Linked DNA regions of Coturnix japonica. The protein of the gene in region 1 purifies or fractionates together with the protein of each later gene. This does not show direct contact. Links are inferred from orthologs where the notes say so. Each region holds a gene or a part of one and is shown in the gene's direction. Other genes may lie near its edges.

What was found.
Region 2: the proteins of RPRD1B (region 1) and RPRD2 purify together in Homo sapiens (affinity purification with mass spectrometry; 4 studies listed by BioGRID and IntAct, counting the BioPlex papers as one, with this or other methods). This does not show direct contact. The link is inferred for Coturnix japonica from reciprocal best matches to the Homo sapiens genes RPRD1B and RPRD2.
Region 3: the proteins of RPRD1B (region 1) and DNA-directed RNA polymerase II subunit RPB11-a purify together in Homo sapiens (affinity purification with mass spectrometry; 3 studies listed by BioGRID and IntAct, counting the BioPlex papers as one, with this or other methods). This does not show direct contact. The link is inferred for Coturnix japonica from reciprocal best matches to the Homo sapiens genes RPRD1B and POLR2J.

The regions. Positions count from the first base shown.
Region 1 is NC_029535.1:8,680,503-8,684,199, forward strand, and holds the end of RPRD1B (regulation of nuclear pre-mRNA domain-containing protein 1B), read left to right. Parts: intron 1-501; coding exon 502-651; 3' UTR 652-2,968; downstream 2,969-3,697. UniProt on the Homo sapiens protein: Interacts with phosphorylated C-terminal heptapeptide repeat domain (CTD) of the largest RNA polymerase II subunit POLR2A, and participates in dephosphorylation of the CTD by RPAP2. Transcriptional regulator which enhances expression of CCND1.
Region 2 is NC_029540.1:1,879,582-1,884,415, reverse strand, and holds the start of RPRD2 (regulation of nuclear pre-mRNA domain-containing protein 2), read left to right. Parts: upstream 1-1,874; 5' UTR 1,875-2,170; coding exon 2,171-2,378; intron 2,379-2,806; exon of another isoform or gene 2,807-4,654; intron 4,655-4,834. Other genes in the region: PRPF3 (U4/U6 small nuclear ribonucleoprotein Prp3), read left to right, coding at 193-276, 394-455, 748-894.
Region 3 is NC_029534.1:3,079,682-3,084,117, reverse strand, and holds DNA-directed RNA polymerase II subunit RPB11-a, read left to right. Parts: upstream 1-1,805; 5' UTR 1,806-1,884; coding exon 1,885-1,937; intron 1,938-2,074; coding exon 2,075-2,164; intron 2,165-2,269; coding exon 2,270-2,444; intron 2,445-3,397; coding exon 3,398-3,433; 3' UTR 3,434-3,776; downstream 3,777-4,436. Other genes in the region: ras GTPase-activating protein 4-like, read left to right, coding at 215-352, 421-732, 804-941, 1,010-1,145, 1,217-1,337, 1,409-1,458, 1,563-1,684; LRWD1 (leucine-rich repeat and WD repeat-containing protein 1), read right to left, coding at 3,993-4,133. UniProt on the Homo sapiens protein: Core component of RNA polymerase II (Pol II), a DNA-dependent RNA polymerase which synthesizes mRNA precursors and many functional non-coding RNAs using the four ribonucleoside triphosphates as substrates.

The DNA.
Region 1 (3,697 bases):
AACCAAACACTCCAAGCTTATCAAGCTGGGGTGGGAGGAAGCACATTTCAGCAGATTAGTAATACCTGGGGTGTTCCTCAGACTGCTGCCTTTGTCAGTGGGATGTGTCTGAATAACGCTGTGTCAGTTTCCTCCTTTGGATCTGCACAAAAGCCAGTTGTCTGGAGAAGAATATAGGAATAGAGCAACTATATAATGACAGTTCTGTCAAATATTCCACCAGGTCTCAGTGTCTGTGGGGTCGTTCATGTAACTTTTGTTGAGGTATCATGGCAGGATCAGTGGCTCTGAGATGCTGAAGCTTGTGGACTTCTTGCTGGGGCAGGCTGTGAGTCTGGGTGCAGATGGCAGCTCTACAGTCGTGCAGTAGCTGCACAGAGAACAACCAAAACCTTGCCACTTTTTCCTAGAATCCTCACTTAAACAAACAATCCTGGCTTAACTAAAAGCACTGTAAGTTAACCTGTGTTTGATGCTTGGTCTCTCGTCTCTTTCCTGCAGGAATATAAACAGAAGCTTGCTCGGGTAACCCAGGTCCGCAAGGAGCTGAAATCTCACATCCAGAGCCTTCCGGATCTGTCACTGCTGCCCAACGTCACAGGAGGTCTGGCACCTCTGCCGTCTGCTGGTGACCTGTTTTCAACAGACTAGAACAAATGGTGTCCCCTAGTTTCCATTATTACCAGCAAAAGTAAGAAGACTGTTGACTGGAAATCCAGTCTTCCCAGATGTACAGTAGGAAAGAACTTTCAGACCCTGCTTTCAACCTCTTGGCTGCTCATGCTCACCTTCTCTCTGTGTACACTGGCTCACAACGAGGGCAGGATAAAGAGCGAGTTTTTGTGAGCTCTTAAGGGAGTGGGGATAGTCCGTATAAGCAATTTTCTCTCATAATTTTTCCTTACTCTTTAGTTTGTTTGCTCTTAGCACTTGTTACCCCACGAAAGTCATGAGAATCGTGTACATATATGGAAAGTGTTCAAAGAAAGGCTGACCGTATAACATTTTCCTCTGTAAAACTATTGTATTATTTCAGATTGTCTTGCCTGTTTTTGCTGGGTCTCTGAAGCTCGTATCTGAAAGCAGTAGTGGCTAGTGGGCTTCGTAGGGGTGCGTGCATGTGTGTCTGCAGGTATTATATCATGTCAGTGAAGGACAAAGGCACCTACTGAACAATGGCACAAATATTTTAAATCTACAGTTCCTCATGCTGTTGTAGGCCTCACATAAAAAATAGTTCCTATTTGGCATGAACATAAATTGAAACTCACCACAGGCAATAAAAATAAACAGCTTTTCTTTGTGAATTAGAGAGCTTCATAATTTAAGCTCTGCTGAGCCATGCAGAACTGGATATTACCTAAACGAGAGTGGAAGTAAATTTTGTTCTAGCTACCTTAGATTTATACTATATTTTTCCTCTTCATTATACAAAATAAACGATCACAGAAGCTTTGGTTTAACTGAGAGGCTGGAGTGTGGTGGATTGTAACTGGCCGTCACCCAGTGGCAGATCTGCTCTGAAGGTGGTCATGCTGAAAGCATTCTATAAATTCTCCCTGTAGCTTTAGTCAAGTTAATTGATGAACAGAAGTTAAATGTGATATAAACCCCCCCGTTTTTTTCTTAATCTAGAAAGTAGACCCATATACACATCCAGCATGCACATGTGCTATATCTATGCATGTATTAGAAGGATGTACTTAATTTTGTATCACAGATTGTGAGTTGATTTTATTATTGGGGGGGAAAAATTAGAGTACTCTTTAATTTGCTAATGTTCTAGCTGCCATGGATGTCATTAGATTTCAGTTTGTGTGGTAGGTCTATCAAGCTGGACTCTCATCACTGAAAACCATTCCTGTCTGGGAAAATAATCTGTTTAAATCTAATATCTCCTGCTGTGGAACACCTGAAGTTTCTGGAAACACTTGGTCTGACAGCACAGGCTCTATCACAGAGAGGCTGAAATGAGTTACGTTGGTGTGCTGTGTTTGTGCCTCGCTCTGGTCTTAAGCTGCAGTTCTCAAAGACGTGAGAAGATACCTATAGAAATGCAAATCTTGGTCTGCATTAATTTATTTTATGGAGTATTAAGTAGCCAATTGACATTCAGTTAAATAACACCATGTGTTTGGTGGTTTGGTTGTTGAAAAGCTCCTGTGCTTTTCTTACCGATGTTTCACTTTTGTTTATTTTTTTTCCTGTGAAAAGGAAACTTCTTCCACCCCTGTTGCCCAGCCAGGCAATGCCTTTCTTTTTCATTGGCAGGAAACTTTACGATGGCAGTGAATTATATTTTCCATGAATTGGTTTGATCTTGCAACCATTTGTGGACCAAATGTTGCTTACATCAGGCACCCAACACAGTCTGCTTTTGCCAAACATTAAAAAGGGAATAAAATAGGAAAACAAAGATAATAATCAAGGGAAACCAAACAAAGCCACCAAAGCTCCAAAATCCCAAACAAGAAGATGAATTTCTGTCCTGCCACAGCTCCCGGAGTTACCTTGAGGTTGCTTTAAGCAGTGATTGCTTTGACTGTGGATTGAACCCATATCCACTGTAAGACAAAACGTGTTGCCATCTCACGCTGTTGTTCTGGGCAGACGTCATGTGAGGAAGCGGGCTGTCTGTCTTTTCTTATTCTAGAAATGTTTGGACTTGTTGGTTGGTTTTTTTTTCCCCTAAGTGTGAGTGTGTTTTCTTTTGCTTAATTTAAATGAAGTCTCGTAGGTTTTACTTTCCTTTTAATGGGCAAAGGACATCTGGTGAACTGAGTAACGTTCTCTGAAGGTCAAACAGATTTTCCCAAGGTTTGTCTCTCTCTCTTTTTTTTTAATGCTAAAATCTGTATATTAATGGTTTTAGGAATTAATGTAGGCATATTGGCTGCCATTTGTGACAGCAGTATATTCTGAAATGTCTCATAGATCTATATTTTTGAATAAAGAGGGTGTCGTTGAATAGCGCTGGTTTTACTTGCTTCATTTGCAGTGCAGGTGCTGCTTGGACTCACTGTGGGTTTTGTTTGGGTGTTTTTACCCTCTGCATTTAAAGGACAGGAACTGCTGATCGGTCCTTATGGCAGAGTTTGAAGATGTGACCATTACTTGGACAAAGTCGAGCTGTGATCTGCATGTTGTGGCAGTACTTACACTGAATGGATGCGCAGCGTTCTTAGGTCATTGCATTCTACTTTTATTGCAGCATTCCTCAGAACTAACCTCTGATAAGAGAAGCACAAGGCACTGAAGACTTCCGGCTTCCAAGCTTATAAATTAATTCAGGTTATATGGAGGATGAATTAATAATTAGGTTTGGATACAAACAAACAGAAACCAAACCCAAACAGGAGCTTGGAAACTGACTTTCCTGTATGAAGCATTGAGAGCTGCTGCTGTTCCTGCAGGGTTTTGATGCTGTCTAATCAAAGCCTTTCCTCTGTAGAGGAGGAGGATCTTCACATCTTATTGTGTATTAATTCTCTTAGAGGTTTTGGGGGGGAGCTTATGGGTTCTTCACTCCAATTAACTGCTATTCAATAGTCTCTTTGGGCAAACTTGATAATTGTTTCATGTGCCTTGGAGAGTGTCAGCAAAGCTGCTTATAACTTTTAGCAATTTACGAATCTTTCATTAAGGAGGCTATATTTAGTCTGCTTTTGTAATCGACTTGCAGGAAGTTTGATCTGCA
Region 2 (4,834 bases), on another chromosome or scaffold:
ATCCGTTCAGAGTCCAGTGCAGTTACTCACACTTTGGCTGGAAGGGCCTGGCTGTGCTGTACTTGTGTCTGATCAGCTGAGCATGCTCTGAAAGGCTTACTTGTGTGTTTGTTGTTCTTCTGCCTTTTAAAGTCTCCTAAAAACATGAGGGTTAAGGACCTTTGTGAATGTAAGTCTCAATTCTCTCCCCAGGCCCGAAAGCACAGAAGAAATTCAAACGTCTTATGCTTCATCGAATAAAATGGGATGAACAAACATCAAACACCAAGGGAGAAGGTAAGCATTAAACCCTGTGGGGAAGGAGGTGGTAACAGATGATGTTGTAGCCATTGGGTTGGTTGAGCAGTGGTGGTTCTGCAGGACTAGAATTTGTTGTTGCTGTTTCTATTCCAGATGATGACGAGTCTGATGAGGAGTCTGTTAAGAAAACAAACAAATGCTCTCTGGTTTGGGAGGTGAGTGGGCAGAGTTCTGGTTTGCTGGGAGTTCTGGGGGCTTAGGAAAGGCACAGGTTAACCCTGCCTGATAGAATGGCTGCTTTGTATGGAAGGGAAGTCTACTGATCTGAATTGAACTGTACAGTTCTTAAGCTATAGCAGAATTACACAGTGTGGGGTAGATACTCCAAACCTCTTGCAGCAGTTGGGTTAATTGCTTGTTGACCTGTAAAAAACATTTATTCTCAGTTTTATTTCAGTTACTTTCTCCCCATAGACTTGTGGAAATGAGTCCCCTTTTCTCTTCCAGGGCACGGCAAAGGATCGAAGCTTTGGCGAAATGAAATTTAAGCAGTGCCCCACTGAAAACATGGCACGGGAGCACTTTAAAAAGCACGGAGCAGAGCACTACTGGGACCTGGCTCTGAGTGAATCCGTGCTGGAATCCACAGACTGAGGGTGATGCTGCCCCCGGCACCCCCCCCCCTCCCTTTCTTCGTTTGAGAACGAATACCTCGTGGGAACTTGAACGACCCCCTTCCTCCCCCTCCGGTCTCAGTACAGCGAAGTATGATTAAAAGAAATATTTTTTAAAGCAAATCACTTAACAATTTGTTTTTCTGGATACGTTCAGCTCCTGGAGGAGGTGTGAACCTGTTGGCTGCCCCCCCCCAAGCCCACACTGTAGGGAATCTGACCTGGGAATGTGACCTTCTATGGAAAGAATCGTTATGGAGCTGAAGGGGAGAAGTTGTTTTCTATGCTCTTTGTGTCCCTTCAGGTACGAAGGTCTCAGGGCTGTGCTGGGAGGTGTGGGGGGGCACAGGGGGTCTGTGTGGGGCAGCACAGGGGACAGGGGAGGAGCACTTGGTGTTTGTAAAGCAGAGTAGGAGACGGGGACTTAGCCCACATCCTATATTTACATAATAAACATGTTGGTTTCTTTTTGTAAAAGCTGAAGCCGCCTTCGGTTTGTGTGTGTTTATGGCAGCGTTTGGAACAGCACCCAATGGGGGGGTTTGGTGGTTTAATGGGAGTTTGGTGCTTTAAGCGAGGCTTGATCTCATTGCAGTGCTCCCTGCGAAGGGCAGCTCAGCCTCTCCCAGCTTTCTGCTCAGCTCAGCGGGCCGGGTCGGACATTATGGCCCCGTTACTTCAAGCCTCATCTTGCTTCTCTACAGCGCAGGCGGCCGCCATCTTGGCCGCGGGGCAGGCCGGGAGCGAAGCGCAATGCTTGTGGAGGGGGGTGATGCTCAATGCGCATGCGCGACGGCAGGGAGGACGGCTGGGTGGAGCGGCGCATGCGCATTGCTCAGGAGGGCGGGCGGCGGCGCATGCGCAGTGCAGAGGCGGCTGTGGTGGGGGGGGTGCCGCCGCCGAGGCCGTGTGAGGGAAGGCCTGGCACAAATGGCGGCGGGGGGGCGGGCGCTGCGCGCGGAGGGGGCCGGCGAGTGACCGAGCCACCACCGCCCCGGGGTGCTGCTGGTTGGGGGGGGGGGGGGACGAAGCGGAGACGGCTCCGTGCGGCTGCCGAACCGACCTCGGAACGCGGCCCGGCCTCTCGGTGTGGGGCCGCCTCGTTCTCCACACACCCCCCCACACCCTCCGTTTCTCCTCCCAACCCCCCCCCCGGGACCGTGACGGCGGGCGGCGGCCGCGGCCCCGCGGGGCTGTGAAGGCCGGGAGCGCCGCCGCCGTCCGCGCGGCCCCGCCTGGGAGAGCAGGGCACGAAGATGGCGGCGGGCGGCGGAGGCGGCGGCAGGGCCTCATCATCGTCGGCCGCGTCCTCGTCGGCCGGAGCGTTGGAGGCCTCGCTCGATAGGAAACTGCAAGCGGTGACCAACACTATGGAGTCCATCCAAGGCCTTTCGTCGTGGTGTTTGGAGAACAAACGGCACCACAGCACCATCGTCTACCACTGGATGAAGTGGCTGCGGCGCTGTGAGTGAGGGCAGCGGTCGGACCGGGCCGCCCCTTTTCCCCCCATCCCGTCCTTCTGGTTCCCTTTGGTGGGGTTATGCGGCCCTTATGGAGCTCCGTGTTGGGGATAGGGAGCAGTTCCCACTCCTGACGGGGTTCCTTTCAAACGCTTTGGAAACTGAGATTGGGTTTCCTATTCCGTGCTCCAAAGGCTGATCCCGCACTGTGGTGTTGGGACGGGTCCGTGTCGGTGTGTTTGGAAAGGAGCAGTTTCATGGCAGAGTTCCTTTGGTTGGATGCTGCCAAAGCTCAGGGCTGGCAATGGGGCACTGTGTGATGGTGGGGCTCTATGTGATGGTGGGGCTCAGCACGGTGCTTACAACACAGTATTATGGGGGGGGGGGGGGTTGTGATGGTGGTGCTGGTGTTGTGTCAAAGCTGCCCAGCTCAACTTGATGGAGCTCGCAGATCTGACGTGCTTTGAGGTGTGATTTCGCAGAGGCCTTTCGGTATGGCTTCACTCCTGGGCTGGCTTTCAGCTTAGCGTTGCCTCTGTGTGTTTTGGGATATATAAATGGAGTCGTTGTAGACGAGCTGTGGTACTGTTGGGCCTCTGGAATGATGCTTTGTGCTTGGCCTGAGTTGTTGTAGAGCATCGTTTGGAAACATTGGAGTGTTCAGTGCTATGGAGTGGGGGGTTGTGACCATCCTGTTCTACAGGAAACACAGCCTGACATCAATAAGAAGGAAACACGTTGGGTGCCAAAACTCAGATTTGGTGAATGCCAGCAATGGCACAAGAGTGGCAAAGTTCCTGTTTTCTAAGCAAGGTTGAGTTCTAGCTGCTGCCTGGCTGATGTGTGAAGGTTTGGTGTGTTGGAGGAGCTAAAGAAAGCTCTGTAGTAGCGTGGAGATAAAGCAGAGCAACACTACACAACGACAGTATTGTGTTGAACCTTTTGTAAAGCCGTGCTGCAGTAGCTTTGTGACCCCACGTGTATTTTGGTATTAATGAGTGGAGGGTGAAGAGGTGCTGTGTGTGCTCTGGGGGTTGTTTTGGTGATGCCTGGTAATGTGTCAAGCAATCTGTCAACCCTAAAAGGTACAGCTGAATAGTGAATGGGGTCCAGAAGCCACAAGGATGCTCCAGAGGATGGAGCACATCTATGGAGAGAGGCTGAGAGCTTGGGGTGTTCAGCCTGGAGAAGAGAAAGCTCGTTGTGGCCTTCAAGTATCTAAAGGGAGCACATAAACAGTGGGTAAAGCAACTGATGTGTGTGATAGGATAAGAAGGAATGGCTTTAAATTACAAGAGGGGAGACTTAGGTTAAATGATAGGAGGAAATTGTTTAGCCAGAGGCATCTCAATGCTGGCACTGTTGCCCTGAGAAATGTGGGTGCCCCAGGCCATGGATGGAGCCCTGGGCAGCTTGAGCTGGTGGGGTACCCAGCTTATGGGCGGCTGTGAGGTCCTTTCTGACCCAACCCAGCTTATGGGGGGCTGTGAGGTCCCTTCTGACCCAACCCAGCTTATGGGGGGCTGTGAGGTCCCTTCTGACCCAACCCAGCTTATGGGGGGCTGTGAGGTCCCTTCTGACCCAACCAGGAGGTGATTCCATGTGCCATAAGCTCAGATCTCTGCCACTGGTTGCTGGAGTTTGTCTTAACGTTGATCTGATGGGAGAAAAATCACATTGAACTTAGTGAAACATTTATTTCTTGTTAGTGCACTTAGTGATTAAAAAGTGATGTAAGAACCTGTTTGTACCCAAGGAATAGCTTTGCCTGGGCTGTCAGTGCTATAAATTCACACAAGGCAAAGCACTGTGTTTATCTTCTTCAGAGCTCGTCTCTGGAGCCCTACATTCGCTGTGGTCACAGCAGTTTTCTTTCTCCTCCTGGCACAGGTGGTTCTGCTCCACTCCTCCACTCAGGGAGCTGCCAAAGTCCCTTTTCAAGCACATTCCTTTGACGCTGCCCCTTCCTTCTCATTTACTCTCTTTCATTAGCCCTTCCCTTATTCCAAGGTTCATCAGAAGTCTTTATTCTTTCTTTGGGAGCCATGGATGCTCTGCTTCTGTCCTTCCAAGCTCCTGTTGGTTATAAGCTGTCAGTACCAGGCTGGATTTCTGTTTGGTTCTGAGGTTGCCCTGGTGCATCCCCCATGTTTGTGAGGATTGCTTAGCACCTCACAGCCCTCTCCAGTAACATGACTGAATAGCCAAGAGCTTATTGTGCTCTCTGGAAGAAGCACAGAACCTTAAGGGTTGAAGGGGACTTCTAAAGCTCTTCCCAAGGTTGGTTCCCTATAGCAGGCCACACTATACCTAGTGTCCAGGTGGGTCTCAAGAGACTCCCCCACCTCTCTGGGCAGCTTGTGCCAAAGCTCTGCCACATTCAGACTGAACTCCCTGGGTTCTGGTTTGTGTCCTGTGCCCTTTTCTTGTCACTGGGCACCACTAAACAGAGCCTGACGC
Region 3 (4,436 bases), on another chromosome or scaffold:
TTGGACAGGACCATGGGCAACCTGATCTAGTAAAGGTGTATGTTTGGTGGCCCTGCCAGGCAGGGGGTTGGAACTACATGATCCTTGAGGTCCCTTCCAACCTGGGTCATTCTGTGATTCTGTGGGCTGTGAGGATCATCCAACCCTGAAGCATCATGAGGGATGGTGCCATGGGGATGGACCCTCACACATCTCTTGCCCCCGGTGGCTGCAGCACACTCAGTTCGTGGCTGTCACCAGCTTCTTGTGCCTGCGCTTCTTCTCCCCCGCCATCATGACCCCCAAACTCTTCCACCTGAGGGAGACACACGCTGATGCACGTACCAGCCGCACGCTGCTGCTGCTGGCCAAGGTGAGCTGGGACATGGGCACAGCGGGGTGGCACTGGGGGCAACGACTCCACCATGCCGTGGTCTGCAGGCCGTGCAGATGGTGGGCAACATGGAGCCAGCGGCAGGGAGAGCCAAGGAGGAATGGCTGGCCCCGCTGCAGCCCGCCCTGCAGCACGGAGCCTCCCAGATGAGGGCCTTCATCACCCGCCTGGTGGGCACGGAGGAGGAGGAGGGTGGAGAGGAGCAGCCCTGTGCCCCCCGCAGCAACGTGGTGAAGGAGGGGCTGCTGTTTGTCCATAAGACACGGGGCAAAGGGCCGCTGCTTGCTTCTGCATCCAAGAAGCTGCACTTCTGCCTCACCAGCGAGGCACTCAGCTTCAGCAAGAGCCCCGGGGCAGAGGTAGGGGGACGTGGGGTGGTGGGATCCCATGGTGGCACGGAGGGCACCGAGCGCTGTGTCCCCAATGGCAGAGATGCGGCTCCATCGCTTTGGCCAACATCCGAGCGGCCGAGAAGGTGGAGGAGAAAAGCTTTGGGAGCTGCCACGTCATGCAGGTGGTCTATGTGGATGAGGCCGGGCAGCAGGAGACGGCGTATCTGCAGTGCAAGGTGGGCTGGGATGGGGACGGGGCTGTTTCCCATTGGGGTACTGTGTGACCTCGCTGTTTAACCCGCAGTGTGTCAATGAGCTGAACCAGTGGCTGTCTGCGCTGAGGAAGGTGTGCGGCAACAACCCGCAGCTGCTGCGCTCCTACCACCCCGGGGTCTTCAGGGGGGATAAATGGAGCTGCTGCCACCAGAAGGACAGGACGGGTACGGGCTGCTGGGTGGGGGGTGGGGGTGGTGATGTCCCCGCTATTTTCAGCCCCTGTTCTGTCCCATAGGACCGGGCTGCGGCCGGACCCGGCACAGCATCACCCTGCAGGACTGGACCGACCCGCTGCAGCCCGACGTGGAGGCGCAGCGGCTCTTCCAGCACCTGCACGGGCTGCAGCAGCCCCTCAGGTGGGACCCACAACCGGGGGCAGCCCCCAAAGCGCCCCCTGCCCCGCGGCCAACAGCCCCTTTATCCGCAGGGAGAAGTGCCGGCAGCTCATGGAGCCGGGGGACCCTCAGAACGGAGAAGGTAGAGAAAGGACCCCCAGCTCCCCATCCCCCCCATAGGCGCTGTGCTCTGGGGCTGCTCCCATTCCCGGGGGGTCTCACCGCCCCGCTCTCCCCCCCCCCCAGCCCCACCGCTGACCCCCGCGCTCCGCCGGCTCCTGGATGCGCTGCAGGACCTGGAGCGCTGTCACCGCCGGCTGCCCCCGGCCCAGCCCCCCCTGCAGGAGCTGCCGGAGCCGCAGACGTGACGGACGGACCGGGATGTGCCGGGATGGGGCTGGGGGGGGGGGGGGGGGGGGGGTCGCAGCGTGGCAATAAATGCGCAGCTCCACCCGCTCCGTGTCCGTGCCTTTATAGCGCACTGCGCACGGTCCGCCCGCACGGCAGGGGGCGCTGTGGGCGGAAGTGACGCTGTGTGCGCTGCGGGGAGCGGTGCGGAGCCGGCGGGATGAACGCGCCGCCAGCATTTGAGTCGTTCCTGCTGTTCGAAGGGGAGAAAAAGTGAGTAGGGGGCGGGATGGAGGATGGGGGGGGTCCGGTGGGGGGTTGGGGGCTGCCCGGACCGTCCCGTGCCCCCCCGGTTCCCCCCATGTCCGCCCGGGCTGTGGCAGTGAATCGCCGCCCCCTGTGCTGTGTAGGATCACCATCAACAAGGACACCAAGGTGCCCAACGCCTGTTTGTTCACCATCAACAAGGAGGATCACACGCTGGGAAACATCATCAAGTCGTGAGCTGAGGGAGCTGGGCGCTGCTTACAAGTGCTGGGGCTCTTATAAAGCTCTTACATCTATTAATGTATGTTTGTTTGCTGCTGCTTTGCCTCCTCCCCCAGGCAGCTGCTGAAGGACCCCCAGGTGCTGTTTGCAGGTTACAAGGTCCCGCACCCCCTGGAACATAAAATCATCATCCGCGTCCAAACGACCCCGGATTACAGCCCCCAGGAGGCCTTCACCAACGCCATCACCGACCTGATCAGCGAGCTGTCCCTGCTGGAGGAGAGATTCAGGGTGAGCTCAGTTCTGAGCACTGCGAGAAGCCCATCCTTTGAACCTAAGGGAAGGGCTCAGCCCAGAGCTGCTGCCATCTCGAAGATGATCAGGGGGCTGGAGCACCTCCCCTATGAGGACAGGCTGAGGGAGTTGGGTTTGTGCAGCCTGGAGAAGAGAAGGTTGCGGGGTGACCTCATTGCAGCCTTTCAGAACCTGAAGGGAACCTATAACCAGGAGGGGAGTAAACTCTTGGAAAGGGCTGACAATAGCAGGACACGGGGAAATGGTTTGAAGTTAAAAGAGGGAAGATTTAGGTTGGATGTCAGGGGGAAGTTCTTCACTAGGAGAGTGGTCAGGCCCTGGAACAGGCTGCCCAGGGAGGTTGTGGATGCCCCGTCCTTGGAGGTGTTCAAGGCCAGGTTGGACGGGGCCGTGGGCAACCTGATCTATGGGGTCTCTATGGGGAATCTATGGGGTCTCCTGGGCAACCTGATCTAGTAAATGTGTATGTTTGGTGGCCCTGCCAGGCAGGGGGGTTGAAACTACATGATCCTTGAGGTTCCTTCCAACCCGGGTCATTCTGTGATCATCTAGTCCAACCATTCCCAATACTTCCCGGCTAGATCATACTCAACAACACAACATCCAGACGTTTTCTTGAACACTCCCATGGTCGGTGACTCCACCACCTCTCTGGGCAGTGCATTCCAATGCCTGACTACCCTTTCCGCAAAGTAAAACTTCCTAATGTTCAGCCTGAATCTCCCCTGGCGCAGCTTAAAACCATTCCCTCTAGTTCTATCACTGATAACACAAGAGAAGAGGCCAACCCCCAGCTCACTACAACCTCCCTTCAGGAAGTTATAGAGCAATAAGGTCTCCCCTGAACTCATGCAGTTGTTGTTTGATGTGAAATTGATGAAATCAGTGTTTAAACCATCCACTGACGGTTCTGTTTCTGTTCTTTACAGGTTGCCATTAAAGACAAACAAGAAGGAATCGAGTGAAATCAGCCTGCTCTTAGTGTGATACACTGCTGATGAAGAACGATGTGTCTGAGTGAAATGCTTTATTTAAACCTTCATTCAATGCCAATTACTTTCCTTCCAGTCCTACTGACTTTGGCAGCAGTATTGGGAGGGGATGTTTGTATCTGACATGTCTTGTTTGATTTCATGGCTTAATTCACTAAAATGGTTTTCACTTTTCTAACTGGAGCCTCACTGTCACTATGTGCACTATGCTGTAGCTCAGTCTCACTGCCCTTATGGCAATGAGGAGATGCTGAGTGGCAATAACGGGTCACAGCCCTGGTTTCCCATTCCAAGAAGTTCAGATTCTGCCAGCAGAGTTGTTGTTTTGTTTTATTAAGTGTCATTTCTATAAAACAAATGCACAAATTGTGTAAACTTACAGGAAAAAAGCCTGGATGACTGGATGTGCTTAACGAACTCTTTTACCTTTTGCACGTAACAGCTGGTCTAGAAAACTTTATGGTTATATGGGTAACAGTCACTAATACTGCACTATTTCAAAACACGGGGAATGAACTTCTATAACAAGGAACTATGACTTCTTCCAAATGGCTGTAATGTTCACACTAGTGAGAGCAACAAGGTAAGTGAAAGTAGGGTCTGTTATCACGTTGTTTATGTAGACTTCGCTCAGGTGTTCCCCATTTGCTTGAAGCTCCGGCCATTTGAGAATCTACAGGGAGAACAGAGTTTGTGTAGGAAAGGAATGGTATCATTGTCCATGAAACTTGGGCAATATCAATTATTGCAAAGCCTGGTTTGACAACTGGAGCTGGGTGGGGTCCAAAGAGGTCACATCCCTACCAGATACAGTTAGAGCTAAGACCACACGTGCCTCACAGCCTTTGTGAATGTGTAGTTGTTAGGGCACACTACTGACCCACAGCAGGAGTGTGCTCAGGAAAAGAATGAGCAAAAGAGAAGCAGGAACACAGGCCAGAAGCTTCCCCTTCCCCACATGCAGTTCTACCAAGGA